2 linked regions of the Sus scrofa genome follow. The protein of the gene in region 2 binds, or shares a complex with, the protein of the main gene of each other region. Links are inferred from orthologs where the notes say so. Each region holds a gene or a part of one and is shown on either strand. Other genes may lie near its edges. The genes, in order: POLE4 and POLE2.

Evidence for each region.
Region 1: POLE2 (region 2) and POLE4 share a complex: the UniProt entries of both Homo sapiens proteins name them as parts of the DNA polymerase epsilon complex. The link is inferred for Sus scrofa from reciprocal best matches to the Homo sapiens genes POLE2 and POLE4.

The regions. Positions count from the first base shown.
Region 1 is NC_010445.4:68,113,183-68,120,080, reverse strand, and holds the start of POLE4 (DNA polymerase epsilon subunit 4), read left to right. Parts: upstream 1-2,772; 5' UTR 2,773-2,828; coding exon 2,829-3,047; intron 3,048-3,647; coding exon 3,648-3,732; intron 3,733-4,397; coding exon 4,398-4,439; intron 4,440-6,898. UniProt on the Homo sapiens protein: Accessory component of the DNA polymerase epsilon complex. Participates in DNA repair and in chromosomal DNA replication.
Region 2 is NC_010443.5:179,525,342-179,532,367, forward strand, and holds the start of POLE2 (DNA polymerase epsilon subunit 2), read right to left. Parts: upstream 4,551-7,026; 5' UTR 4,515-4,550; coding exon 4,447-4,514; intron 455-4,446; coding exon 354-454; intron 1-353. UniProt on the Homo sapiens protein: Accessory component of the DNA polymerase epsilon complex. Participates in DNA repair and in chromosomal DNA replication.

The sequences.
Region 1 (6,898 bases), on a different chromosome or scaffold from region 2:
TCAGTGGTTCATGAACCCAACTAGCGTCCATAAGGATGCAGGTTCAATTCCTAGCCTTGCAGAGTGGGTTAAGGATCCTTTGTTGCCGTGAACTGTGGTGTAGGTCATAGACGTAGCTCGGATCTCACGTTGCTGAGACTGTGGTGAAGGCCAGCAGCCACAGCTCCGATTCGACCCCTAGCCTGGGGACCTTCATATACCATGGGTGTGGCCCTAAAAGGACAAAAAGACAAAACAAAACAAAACCAAAACGAAAAAGCAAGAATGGGAGTTCCCGTCGTGGCGCAGTGGTTAACGAATCCGACTAGGAACCATGAGGTTGCGGGTTCGATCCCTGCCCTTGCTCAGCGGGTTAACGATCCGGCGTTGCCGTGAGCTGTGGTGTAGGTTGCAGACGCGGCTCGGATCCTGCGTTGCTGTGGCTGTGGTGTAGGCTGGTGGCTATAGCTCCGATTCGACCCCTAGCCTGGGAACCTCCATATGCCGCAGGAGCGGCCCAAGAAATAGCAAAAAAAAAAAAAAAAAAAAAAAAAGAAAAAGAAAAAGCAAGAATGTTTCAAGGAGGCAAAGACTATAAAGACAGATATAAAGTTTATTGTAGAAACACAGTAGAATATGTGGGAGAGCACACAGAGAACGAGTTTATCTAAGATGGAAGCAAAATACATTAATACACACCCAAAAGAGGAGTGTGGGTGTCCCCCGGAATGAGGAGTGTGCCAGGGAGGCAATTTAAATCACTTATATAGGAAGTTCTTCTGGGTCTTTGTTTTCCTTTGGCCAATTATCTTGTTTTATTTCTCATACCTACTGGACCAGGGCCATCTCAGATATGCATGCATGTTTTTTTTTGTCAAGATGGTTTCCAGAGCAAAGGACTCTGGGATGGTATCAGGACTTATTATGGCCTGGCGCCCCTCCCCTTTTGACTCCTAGGAGGTTTACTGCATATGTGTAATTGGGGAGCTCTCCTTGACCCCCAGAGTGATTGAAGTGGTCATCTTATCTTTCTACTCCAGCAGAGCTCAGCTCTTGCCGTTAACTTTCCCCTTGAGGTGTCAAAAGAAGCAAGTCCCAATTTACGCAGCCCAACAAGTCCCTGCTCTTCTTAGCCCAGGGGGCCATCCACCTCCTATCTCAGACTGAAGATAAGGTGTGATGTGTTTGGGGAATACTGTAACTGAGCAGGACCCCGTGACGCCTTCCCAGAGTGGACCCCCACTCGTGCCCTCCACCTGCTTTTTTATCTACAGAGAAACTTTAGTCAAAGAATCAATTTAATCAGAGAAAGAAAATACAGAGAAAAAGGACAACAGTCAAGCAAGACAGAATAATAGTTTAGCCATTCAACAAAGTCAAAGACCTTTTAATGAATTGTCCTGCAAGGACTATAGATAATATTCTGAGCCATGTCCTTGGAGCTGTTTTGCAGGTGCTGAAGCCCCTACCAGGTGGAAGACTTCGACTGTATGCAGCCCACAAGAATATAGACCCCAGTCTGGTTGGAACCAGAAGGTTAATGACACTGACTCTTAATTATCTCACCACCCACTCATCAAGAAAATGCCCAGGAGCTGATCACGCCCTGCTCCTCAAACACTGTAAGACTCCTCACTACACCCTCCAAGGGAGTACAGGGGGGTCACAGTCCTTGAGTCACTAGCCTGCTGTGTTCCCTCTTTGACTGGCAATTAAAGCTACTTTCTCTGTTTCCTCCAACTCTACACCTTTCTGTTTGGCATTGTGTACAGAGGCAGCTGATATTTCCGGCAACAGTAAGGAGAAGGTGTCCAATAATCACCTTGGTGAGTAGGCAAGTAAGCAGAGCACGGTGACTGCTGGCTGCCTTGATTCTCACTTGAGACTAATGTCAAGACTCCTCTCCAATAAGAGCTTGGTGGGATGGGTGCTTTCTCATGTTCCTTCCGTCCTTGGGCTTTCCACACCAGCCCTGGGAGCCTATGTGTGATTCCTCTATTTTTTAGACTTCTCCTTACTCACTCATAGTCAATCCTGTTAGAGTAACTTTTTTTTTTTTTTTTTGTCTTTATGGGGCCGCACCTGTGGCATATGGAGGTTCCCAGGCTGGGGGTGGAATCAGAGCTATAGCCGCTGACCTACACCAGAGTCACAGCAACACCAGATCTGAGCCGTGTCTGCGACCCACACCACAGCTCATGGCAACGCTGGATCCTTAACTCACTGAGCAAGGCCAGGGATTGAACCTGTGTGTCCTCATGGGTGCTAGTCAGGTTTGTTTCTGCTGTGCCACGACGGGAACTCTTATAGTTTAACTTTTATGTTAAACTTTCTATTCAAATTACTTTCCCTGTTCAAACTCTGTGTAGTTTCCTTTTCCTAATTGGACTGTGATGCAGATGAGGTTTCGTCATGGGAAAGAGGGAAGAATTGTTGAAGCGATGCCCATCATTTACTTCTTTCCCCGCCTACATTTTTATTTCTCCTACTTTACTGTCTCCTCCAGGAGCATATACATTTGTCCAAGTTTCTCCTATATATTTCTATTACTGCTGTTTACTTTTACAATCAAGTTCTCAAAAGAGAGCTCAACTAGGTAGGACATCGCGTGAGATGCAAAGCAAACTGCAAAATCGGACCACCAGACCTCAGAAGCGCTGTGAGGGATAGAAAAGATTAAACGCCAGCCCTCCGCCTCTCTCACGGGATACTCCGCCACGCTGGCCGGTTGGGGGGGGGGCGGAGTCACGAGCCATCAGGGGGCGTGGCTGCCAGTGCGCGCGGGAAAGGGGCCGGCACCGCCTGCGCGCGCACAGTCGGCGGCCGCGCGCAGCACGCCCGGGGCCCGGATGGCGGCCGCGGTGGCGGCGGCAGCTGGAAGTGGGCCTGCCCGGGAAGAGGACAGCTCAGCTGGGGAGGCGGCGGCCCCGCAGCCCCAAGCCCCGACAAGTACGCCTGGGGCTCGTCTCTCGAGGCTACCTCTGGCGCGAGTGAAGGCCTTGGTGAAGGCGGACCCCGACGTGACGCTCGCGGGACAGGAAGCCATCTTCATCCTGGCACGAGCCGCGGTGCGGCGGGGAGCGCCTGGGTCACCTAGTGGGGCGGGGCGGGGCCTCGGGGGCCTTTCGGAAGGGCGGAGCTTAGCTGTATTTGGGGCCAAATTTGAGATGTGAGCGTGGGCAGTAAGAAGGCCATCTGGGGCAGGTTGTGCTGAGGCCCGAGAGGTTAGAGGGGTGCTGGGGCCGGATACTGAGTTGTGAGTATCGGGAGGGAAGACAGAGAAAGGGTCACATGCAGTACTTGTATTGGTTTCGTAGGACCTACCTCTTCCGCGACTTTGATTTGTGTCTCTAGTCTAACTTTATAACTTGTTTCAAGTAAGTGAGTGGGGTGAATCTTCAGAGTGAGGGAGGGACAGACGTGTCTGGACTACAGCAGGAGAGGGGAGGGGAATAGACTTTTATGAAGTCCAGGAGAAATTTCAGCTTCCCTGAGAACCTCCCCGTGCATCTGTGCCCTCTTCCACCCTTGGCCCCCACTCAAACAGGAACAAGCATTTGCACTAGAACTCGTGGATACAACTTTGCTTATTTTCTTTTTTCTTTTCTTTTAATTTTGGTTTGTTTATTACAATTTTTACTTTTTTCCCCTTCTGCTTTTCTTAATAGGAACTGTTTGTGGAGACCATTGCAAAGGATGCCTACTGCTGTGCTCAACAGGGAAAGAGGAAAACCCTTCAGAGGAGAGATTTGGGTAGACTGTCACTTTGGTGTCTTGCATCTGTGGGTACACAAGGGAGGGCTGGGCGAGACTCTCCTTACACTAGTTGAGAAGGCATCACTTTAAGATGAGGGACACCACAGGTCTCTTCCTATGATGTTTTCTGTTGAACTGTCACTGTGCCAGAAGATCGTGCCTCTCGAATGTCTGTTTTGGTTGGCTGGAGTGGTGTTGGGACAGAGAACCAAAAGGAGCCTGGATGTTGCCAAAGCTAACTAGACCCCTTTATTCCTTCTGCTATATTGTACCAGGCTTGTCGTTTTTTTTTTTTTTTTTTTTCCACCTAGAAAGGATAGGTTTGATTTCTGACTCTACTTTTTTCTACTCTAGAATGTGTGTAAATTTTCGTATACCACAATCTCACTTTCCTTGCTCTATAGCCAGACTCTCTTCTCTGATGACTTTCAGAGGAAAGAGGTTCCCCCCAGGGAACAGTATTTACCTAGGCTGTAGAGAGACAGCTGATACGTAGTATTTGGTGGTGGAGAAGATGTAGATCTCAAGATAGCAAGGGACAAATTTTATAAATGCTTATTTGCATAAAGCCTCAGGCCCTTCATTGTGTGTGTTGTGCTCTTGTAAGAGGTTTGATGCCTGTGTCCACAGTTAATCAGGTGTCCCTTTACCTTGTGTTTCAGATAATGCAATAGAAGCTGTGGACGAATTTGCTTTCCTGGAAGGTGAGTTCTCTATCAGGGGGTAGTCCTTTCCACTTGCCTTCTTTCCTTCCTCCTTCCTTCCCTCCTTAATCTCCTTCCCTCTTTATCCCCTTCCCTTCTTTCCTTCCTTTCTTCTTCTTCTTCTTCTTTTCTTTTTTTTAATGGCCACAGCCATGGCATATGGAAGGGATATGGGATTGAATCCAAGCCTCAGCTGTGACCTGCACTGCAGCTGCAGCAAAGCAGGATGCTTTAACCCACTACACCAGACCCAGGGATCTAACCAGCACCTGGGCAGCAACCAGAGCTGATGCAGATTCGTAACTCACTCTGCCACAGCAGGAACGCCTCCACTTGTCTTTCTCATGCTAAAATCTGAGTTCAAAACCTTATGAAATTGATGCCTGGTTCTTCCTTGTTCATGTAGGAGTAATTCTATTTCCTGTTAAGATAGGAAACACAAATTACAATTCAAATTCCTTTGGGTAATTAGAACTTTATGAAAACTGCTAACCATGAACAGTGGGAGGGACTGGAAAGACCCCAGTGGAGTTGGGGGATTTTCAGAAGTTTGTTTCTGACTTTGAGCCCCATCTCTAGATATAAATCTTACCCCTTATCATAATGCTAGAGATCAGAAACAATTGCCAACGTTTAAAGGGTTACCTCTTGTTCTTTTTTCTTCTTCAACAATCTCTCTAAAGTGATGATTTTGCCGCAGTGAGATTCTCTACTGGCCTGTATCTGTTTGTTCTTAAGAATCTTGGATTAACTCATGTGTACTAATTAAATCTTGTCATTGAAATAGAAAATATCTGAAATACCTCATTTTAACTCTCTTTACCTAGAGCTCTCTTCCTGCTGCCCCTAAATCTGATCAGTTTACTCTTCCCTGCATATAGATTGATTGAATAGTTTTGGAAAAGCCATGTACCTTTAGTTTCTCACTTTTAACGACCAGGGTTCTGTTTACCTCCTCAAAGCCTTAATACCTTCACATATCTTTTCTTGAATTTTTTTTTTTAAAGGCTGCACCTGAGGCATATGGAAGTTGCTGGGCTAGGAGTCAAATTAGAGCTGCAGCTGCCCTCGTATGCCACAACCACAGCAACACTGGATCTGAGCTGTGACTGGGACCTACACCACAGCTCACCACAATTGCCAGATCCTTAACCCACTGAGCAAGGCCAGGGACTGAAGCTGCATCCTTGTGGATACTAGTCAGGTTCTTAACCTGCTGAGCCACAGCAGGAACTCATCTTTCCTTGAAGTATTTATTTCACTATTTTTACTCCTTGGTTCTGCATCTATAATCAACTGAGGTCTCTGGCCCTTTTGAGATATTCTTTTAAATGCCTTTTAAGGTACATTCCCATGGTTAGCATTAAGCTTAGATTATTGATTATTCTCTTAATTTGTAGATTTTCTTTTTAAAGCCTCTTTTATGCTTAACTAATTTTTTTTTGGAAATAACTTATTAGCTCCCTACCTAAGGTAGGCAATGTCTTGTGACTGACAGCCTGTCAGTTCCTCAATCAAAAATGTTTGGAGCTTATTCTACCTGTTTATATTTTAATTTTAATTTTTTTTTTTTTGGCTACACCTTTGCCATATGGAAGTTCCCAGGCCAGGGATGAAATCTGAGTTGCACCTTCGACCTATGCCACAGCTGCAGCAATGCCAGTTCCTTAATCCACTGTGCCAGGCCAAGGATCAAACCCAGGCCGCCACCAGAGACAATGCTGGATCTTTAACTACTCTTGTGCCACAGTGGAACCCCTTTACTTTCTATTTAATTATTTTAATTTTAAAATATGGAACACTTTATGAATTTGCCTGTCATCCTTGCTCAGGGGCTGTGCTAATCTTCTCTCTATGGTTCTAATTTTAATATATATGCTGCCAAAGCAAGCACATCTATTTATTTATTTTTATTTACTAACTTCTCGAAGAAATGAGTGATATGATCAAATTTCTATTCAAAGATGTAAACTTACCAACCTATGGAAGTAAATTGGAGGGTCCTGGGAATAAAAGTGGAGAAAAACATAGGAAGTTTTCTGCTTTAGCCTATACCATGCATAGTGCTTGGTTTGGATTTTTTGTTTGTTTGTTTATCTTTGCTGAAACGTTTTATTTTATTTTTTTAAATCTCTGTTATTATTTTTGTTTTTTCCATTATAGCTGGTTTACAGTGTGCTTTCAATTTTCTATTATACACAAGGTGACCCAGTCACACATACATGTATACATTCTTTTTTCTCACATTATCATTCTCCATCATAAGTGAGTATATATAGTTCCCAGTGCTATACGGCAGGATCTCATTGCTTATCCATTCCAAAGACAATCTCTCTAACCCTAATTCCCAGTCCATCCCACTCCCTCCCCCTTGACAACCACAAGTCTGTTTTCCATGTCCGTGATTTTCTTTTATGTGGAAAGGTTCATTTGTGCCGGATAGTAGATTCCAGATAGGA
Region 2 (7,026 bases):
AAAGAACTGTAAAAAAGTCTCTGGGTTCCAAAAGAACTGCAGGTGACCCCTTGGCAACAAAGGCTACCAGAGGTATGTCTTATACCACAGGGACATCTTAAAACACTGAATCTTCAACTTTTACTTAAATCTATAAATCTGAGGATGCAGAACTATATGATCAATTGAAGAGCTGTCAGAAAATGTTCACAGGGAACTATATCCAATCACTTGTGATGCAGCATGATGGAGGACAATACGAGAAAGAGAATGTATGTGTATGTATGGCTGGGTTGCTTTGCTGTACAGCAGAAGATGGCAGAACATTGTAAATCAACTATACTTTCATTAAAAAAAATTTTAATGTTACTCACAGGGTTGCTTTTCAACTGCATCAATGATCTTTTCCAGTGCATCTTCAAGCTCTACTTCATTGATAGATTGAAGAGCTCCTGTGAGGTACTTAATAGCTTCACTGAGAAGAGAGGGAAAGAAAAGGTGAGGCAAATCTTTGGGAATTAAGGCTAAAGGTTTTATGCCCAAATCTGGCAAACACTCATCAATCTGGGATTGAAACTAAGGTCCACTCACTCCTCCCTATAAGTAGTACTCTCCTTGCCTGTGCTTTCTTTTTTTTTTTTTTTTGTCTTTTGTCTTTTTTGTTGTTGTTGCTATTTCTTGGGCCGCTCCCACGGCATATGGAGGTTCCCAGGTCCAATCGGAGCTGTAGCCACCGGCCTACGCCAGAGCCACAGCAACGCAGGATCCGAGCCACATCTGCCACCTACACCACAGCTCACGGCAACGCCGGATCGTTAACCCACTGAGCAAGGGCAAGGACCGAACCCGCAACCCCATGGTTCCTAGTCGGATTCGTTAACCACTGCGCCACGACGGGAACTCCTGCTTGTGCTTTCTGAATGAAATTTTCCTCCTATACCCTGCCCATATAACCGTTCTTAAAACCCCACATCACATGCTTCTTCTAAGAAGCCTCCCTCGACCAGCCTTATCTATTGCAATCTCCCTTTCCTTCTGAAATCACTAAAAATCTCACTTATAGGTACCTTCGATCTGCTACATCACATTAGCCTTGTACCATTTACATTACATTTAAGGCAGAACTCATTTGGCTTCAATGTACTGAACATAACAGGCACTTAAATATATATTTATTAATTTGATAATGAATTTACTTAAATTCTAGTAATTTCACTTTTGTTTTCTTTTTTTTTTTTTTTTTTTTTTTTTGTCTTTTGTCTTTTTTTGTTGTTGTTGTTGTTGTTGTTGCTATTTCTTGGGCCGCTCCCACGGCATATGGAGGTTCCCAGGCTAGGGGTTGAATCGGAGCTGTAGCCACCGGCCTACGCCAGAGCCACAGCAACGCGGGATCCGAGCCGCATCTGCAACCTACACCACAGCTCACGGCAACGCCGGATCGTTAACCCACTGAGCGAGGGCAGGGATCGAACCCGCAACCTCATGGTTCCTAGTCGGATTCGTTAACCACTGCGCCACGACGGGAACTCCCACTTTTGTTTTCAATTGTAAAATCAGAAAAAAAATGATGCTAGAAAAAACTCTGACCTTTGAATATAGTCATAGAAGTAATAATACCCATCAAAATCACATGAATCCCTCCCATCTCCCACTCACAAAGTAAATAAAGCTGCAACTTTTTTTTTTTTTTTTTTGTCTTTTTGCTATTTCTGGGGCCGCTCCTGCGGCATATGGAAGTTCCCAGGCTAGGGGTTGAATCGGAGCTGTAGCCGCCGGCCTATGCCAGAGCCACAGCAACGCGGGATCCGAGCCACGTCTGTGACCTACACCACAGCTCACGGCAACGCCAGATCGTCAACCCACTGAGCAAGGGCAGGGACCGAACCCGCAACCTCATGGTTCCTAGTCGGATTCGTTAACCACTGTGCCACGACGGGAACTCCAGCTTTTTAAAAATCAAATGAACTTCTAATTTTAATTCCAATAATACTCAGATTGAACACTGCCTTTTTTTTTTTTTTTTTTTTTTTTTGGTCTTTTTAGGGCTGCAACTGTGGCACACGGAAGTTCCTGGACTAGGGGTCAAATCAGAGCTACAGCTGCCAGCCTACACCATAGCCACAGCAACGAGGGATCTAAGCCTCGTCTGCAACCTACAGCACAGCTCACGGCAACGTCAGATCCCTGAGCCATTGAAGGAGGCCAGGGATCAAACGTGCATCCTCATGGATACTGGTTGGATTTGTTTCTGCTGTACCACAAGGGGAACCCCAAACACTGTCTTCTTAAACAATTACCTAAATCCACGCCATTGTGTATTTGCGGAACACAATTTTACACTTCACATTATCTTACTGTCCTATATCTTGGGTTGCTTCTTGTTTCATATGTGGGTGTCACATCCCTCCAATTTATTATAGATGATGCTCCTTGAGAAATGGAACTGTGTCATCCTTTGGCAGAGCGCTAAGCACACTGAAAGTGGCCCATAAATATTTGATGCCTGAGTCCCTAAAATCACACACATATTGAGTGAATCTTAGGAGAGTTTTTAGGACAGACCAAAGTAATATAGGATCTGGGCCCTACAGAATCTCATTAGGCCTGTCCAGTGTCTCTGGCCTCGGTGCTCTCCTACCTCAGGGTCTTTATACAGTCATTCCTCACCACCACCGCCCCCTCCCCATTCTTCACCTAGTCAACAAGTCCTGCTTATCCTTTAACACTTGGCTCAAACCATTCTTTAATGAAGTATTCCTTGACTCTAGAACTATTTACACACCTGGCTATATACTATCATAGCTTTCCCTTCCTCGGATCCTTTCACGATTGAAAGTAAGTAATTATGAATTATTTGATATCTATAGTAGATAGACTTCTAAGAAGATCCTTAATAATCCATACCACCTAGTACTCATATCCTTGTGCAATCACCTTTCCATGAGTGTGGGCTGGACCTAGTGACTTGCTTCTAACAATAGAATATAGCAAACATGATAGAATAGTTTACTGTATTGTAGTTCTAAAAATAAAAATTTAAAGCGACAAGATGTCACCTTCTTGCTTAGGTTACAAAAGATTTGACTTCCACTTATAGCTGACTCTCTTGCTGGCTTTGATGAAGTAAGATGCCATGCTGGGGAGGCCCAGTAGCTCACAAAGACTGAAGCCCTCAGTCCAACAATCCTGGATGAACTGAATCCTGCCAATCACTGAATGAGCTTGGAAGCAAACTGCCCAACGGACATCTGAGATGATCCCATCTTGACCGTGCAGCCTTACATGAGACTCTGAAGCTGAGGACCTAGCTAAGCCCACCTGAATTCCTGACCCATGGAAAATGAAGGACTATAAGCGCACGAGATTTTATTTTTAAATTATTTTATTATATTAATTTATTATAGTTGATTTACAATGTTCTGTCACTCATGACATTTTAAAGTTCTAAATTTGGGGGTAATTAGTTATGCAGCAATAGACAATTAACATACTATCTGCCCCCAAGGTCTGCTGTGTCTTATTCCTACTCCCTTGCCCCAATAGTACTTCGCAGCTAATAGATTTCAGTCTCTTTCTGACTGAACTAATGAATGACAGTTCAATATCAGGTCAAATTCTAAGTGAAAAGAAAGAAAAATTAACTGAGCAAGTGCTCACATTTTCAAAATGTCAGGGATCAACTAAACAAAATTCATTATTCTCTCCTAGAGCATATCGATTCTTACCCTTGTTCACCACTAACCCAAAAGCAAGGTTAAAAGTCCCATAAAACTCATCATTACAAAAGCAACCCAAAAAACCGCTACACACACAAGAGCAATCAAAACCTGATACCTTGGGAGGGTTCATTCTATAACTAATAGAAAACACAGATATGGTCAGGAAACCTATCAGAGAAATTCTAAAAGAATTTTTTTAAAAAGGCCAAGGATACCTAGAAACACGCTTCAAACCTACCCGTTTCTTAACTCTCCAGGAATTCTCTCTCAAGAATAATACCCGATCCAAAATTAGGAAGGCTGGCAGAGCCCACAATTGCTACAGTATAACCTGACAGCTACCGAAATGCAATGGGCTTTCCCAGGTCTCTCATTCGCTGTCTCAGTAACTAGGTGAAGCAGCACGGTTAAGGATTCCTATTTGGCGGAGCCCTAAAGGGGGCTGAGAGGTGCCCAAGCACCCTGCTGGTGCACCGCTGCTGCGGCACCGATCACTGCTTCTCCGGCTGCTTGACACGTGCAGGAAAGCCTCATTTCTTTCGGGAGAAACTTTTCACTCCGTATGAACGTTGGGGAAACCTAAGGCATCGCCAGATCCTCTTCCCTTCTTAGAACCCTTGAAGGGTCTCTATCATTTTAAGGCCAAACCCCCTCTCCGCGCGCGGTGCATCCCGCTGCCACGCCGCCTGGCCGGGCTTCCTGGCTCAGGCTCTCCCCTCTCGCCTCGCCAGCTGCCCTGCCGACTTACCCCCGGAGCAGCAAGCCGCGGAGCTTAAAGGCAGAGAGAGCCCGGCTCCGCAACCGATCCGGCGCCATGTTCGCGTTTTGGCGCCACGGCCGCAACCCCGCCCCTTCCCGGGCGCGCTCCGCCCTGGCCCCGCCCCGGACGCACAGGTCCCGACAGCTGCTGCTCCGACCTTAGTGCGAAGATTTTGGCAGCTTCGCGTGCAGGCTGGCTGAAGCTTCGCAGGGTCTGGGCTGCAGGAGAAGAAGTCCCTGCGGTGCTTTGTTGCTCGAAACTGACGAGCGAGAGCTTCCTTCCCTAGTGTCTGGTTGGGAATGGACTTCCCCTATATTAAATGCTTCATTGAGCTAATCAGTGCTCTATCATCGCTGCCCTCCACCTTCCTTGACTCGGATCAGGCTCATCCCGGACCCAGGGCTCTTGTGCACTTACGTTCTCTGCTTCACACAGGCCCTGGAAATACTCTGTGTCACCACAGGGCTTTCCCCGACATTCACTCGAAGTTGCTACGCATCACCATCATTTTCACCCATCCCGCTTTTAATTGCAGTTGCAGACTTTCTATGCGTCATGCACTACAATAAGCGCTTTAAATGAATTAATGTCATGTTCATAAAGCCGAATGAGTTGTGTGCTATTTTTTCAACATCCTCATTTTACAGTGGGGAATGTGAGACTCAAAGATGGTGGATGGCTCGTTCAAGATGAAAGATTTAGTAAGTAAGTGGTAGAGCCAGGATTTTAACTGATTCTGATTCCAGCAAGTGGACTGTTAATCTGCCACTCTTCAAAACTCTTGCTCCGAAGATTTGAATAAAACCATGCAGTGCTTCTACGTGAACACACAGTCTTAAAAAACCGTGAGGATGCTTTCTAAGAAATGATATGCCATGACCTCCAGGGTGTCTGGATAAAATCAATAACAAAGAGTAAAGTATGGTAAAGGAGAGGAAATAAGAATATATATACATATTTATTTGACTTTGTATTTTTAAAAAACCTCTGAAAGATTACACTGGACACACACAAAAAAGGTTAACCATTAAAGGCTGAAGGAGATAAGGAGGAAGAGAGACCTTTCTTTGTAGTCAGAATATTGACTGTCAAGCCATGTTTATGTTTTACAGTTTCAAAAAAGAGAAAAGAAAAAGAGCAAACAAAACTGCAAGCAGACCAAAACCAATATACCTGTATTGGTAATGCAACATAACAGAGAAAAGTGACTTCTGAACATAGTTCTCTGTATATTCACGGTGAAATACATTCCAAAAATTTTAAAAACCTGCAAAAAAAATTTGAACTTTAATGTAAGAAAGGAAATAAAAATAGATAAATATACAGCTGATTTTCATTATTCAAGGCGATTATATTCAAGGCAGTATTAGTATTTACTAATACTGAATTAGCAAATACTCAATCATTGCTCCTACGAGAAATACAGGGTAAGTTTCCTCTGAGCCTCTGGCCACAAACTTTTCATTGACTGATTAATAATACTCTTGTTTTATGTGTGTTTCTGTTGAAAGACATCTTTAATTATATATTGTTGATTCGTTAACACTGAACTCAGAGCCAGCAGCACTACAATTCCTGCCTGATGGAAGTTTATCTAGCACACGTGTTTTCTTACAGCCTGCTAATGCTTTGAAAACTAGAAAGTATTTCAGCACTATGCTTGGCATCCACCTTAAACAGCAAAATCACCAAATATTCTCTTGGGGAAGCCAGCTGCCCTCAAGCAATTCTTAGAAAGGTCCATGTGTTAAGAAATGGAGGCCTCCTGCCAATATCCAGCACCAGCTTTCCATCCACATGTCAGTGTTTGTGAGCAATTTCCAAAACAGATCTCCCAGGGAGTTCCCTGCATGGCTCAGCAAAATGAATCTGCCTAGTATCCATGAGAATGCAAGTTTGATCCCTTCGCTCAGTGAGTTAAGGATCTCACATTGCCATGAGCTTGGTGTAGGTCGCAGACGAGGCTTAGATCTCACACTGCTGTGGCTGTGGCCTAGGTCAGCAGATACAGTTCTGATTCAATCCCCAGCTTAGGAACCTCCATACGCCATAGGTGAGGCCCTAAAAACACCAAAAAAAAAAAAAAAAAAAAAACACACCAAGAAAACGAAAGAAAAAAGGAAAGAAAGAAAGAGGGAGAGAGAAAGAAAAGAAACAGATCTTCCAGGCCTGGTGAAGTCTTTGGAGAATCACAATTCTGTCCAATATTTTGACTTCAAACTCATGAGAGACCACTCTGAACCATCCAGCTGGGCTGTTTCTAAATTCCCTACCTATGGGAACTGTGTGAAATAATAAAAATTTTATTTATTTATTTATTCCCAATGCAATTTGGGGAATCTTGAATACGGATTAGATATTAAATAACATTGAGTAACAATTGTTAATTATTACTTAGGTGTGATAATGATATTGTGGTTATGCATATGAATGTCCCTATTTTTAGGAAATTTGCAGAGACATAACATTAGGCATGCTGAAGTGAACATAAATGTGCCTCTTTTAGGAAATGCATGCTGAACTGTAACTTTCAAATAATTCAGCAAAATGAAAAAATGTAGACACACA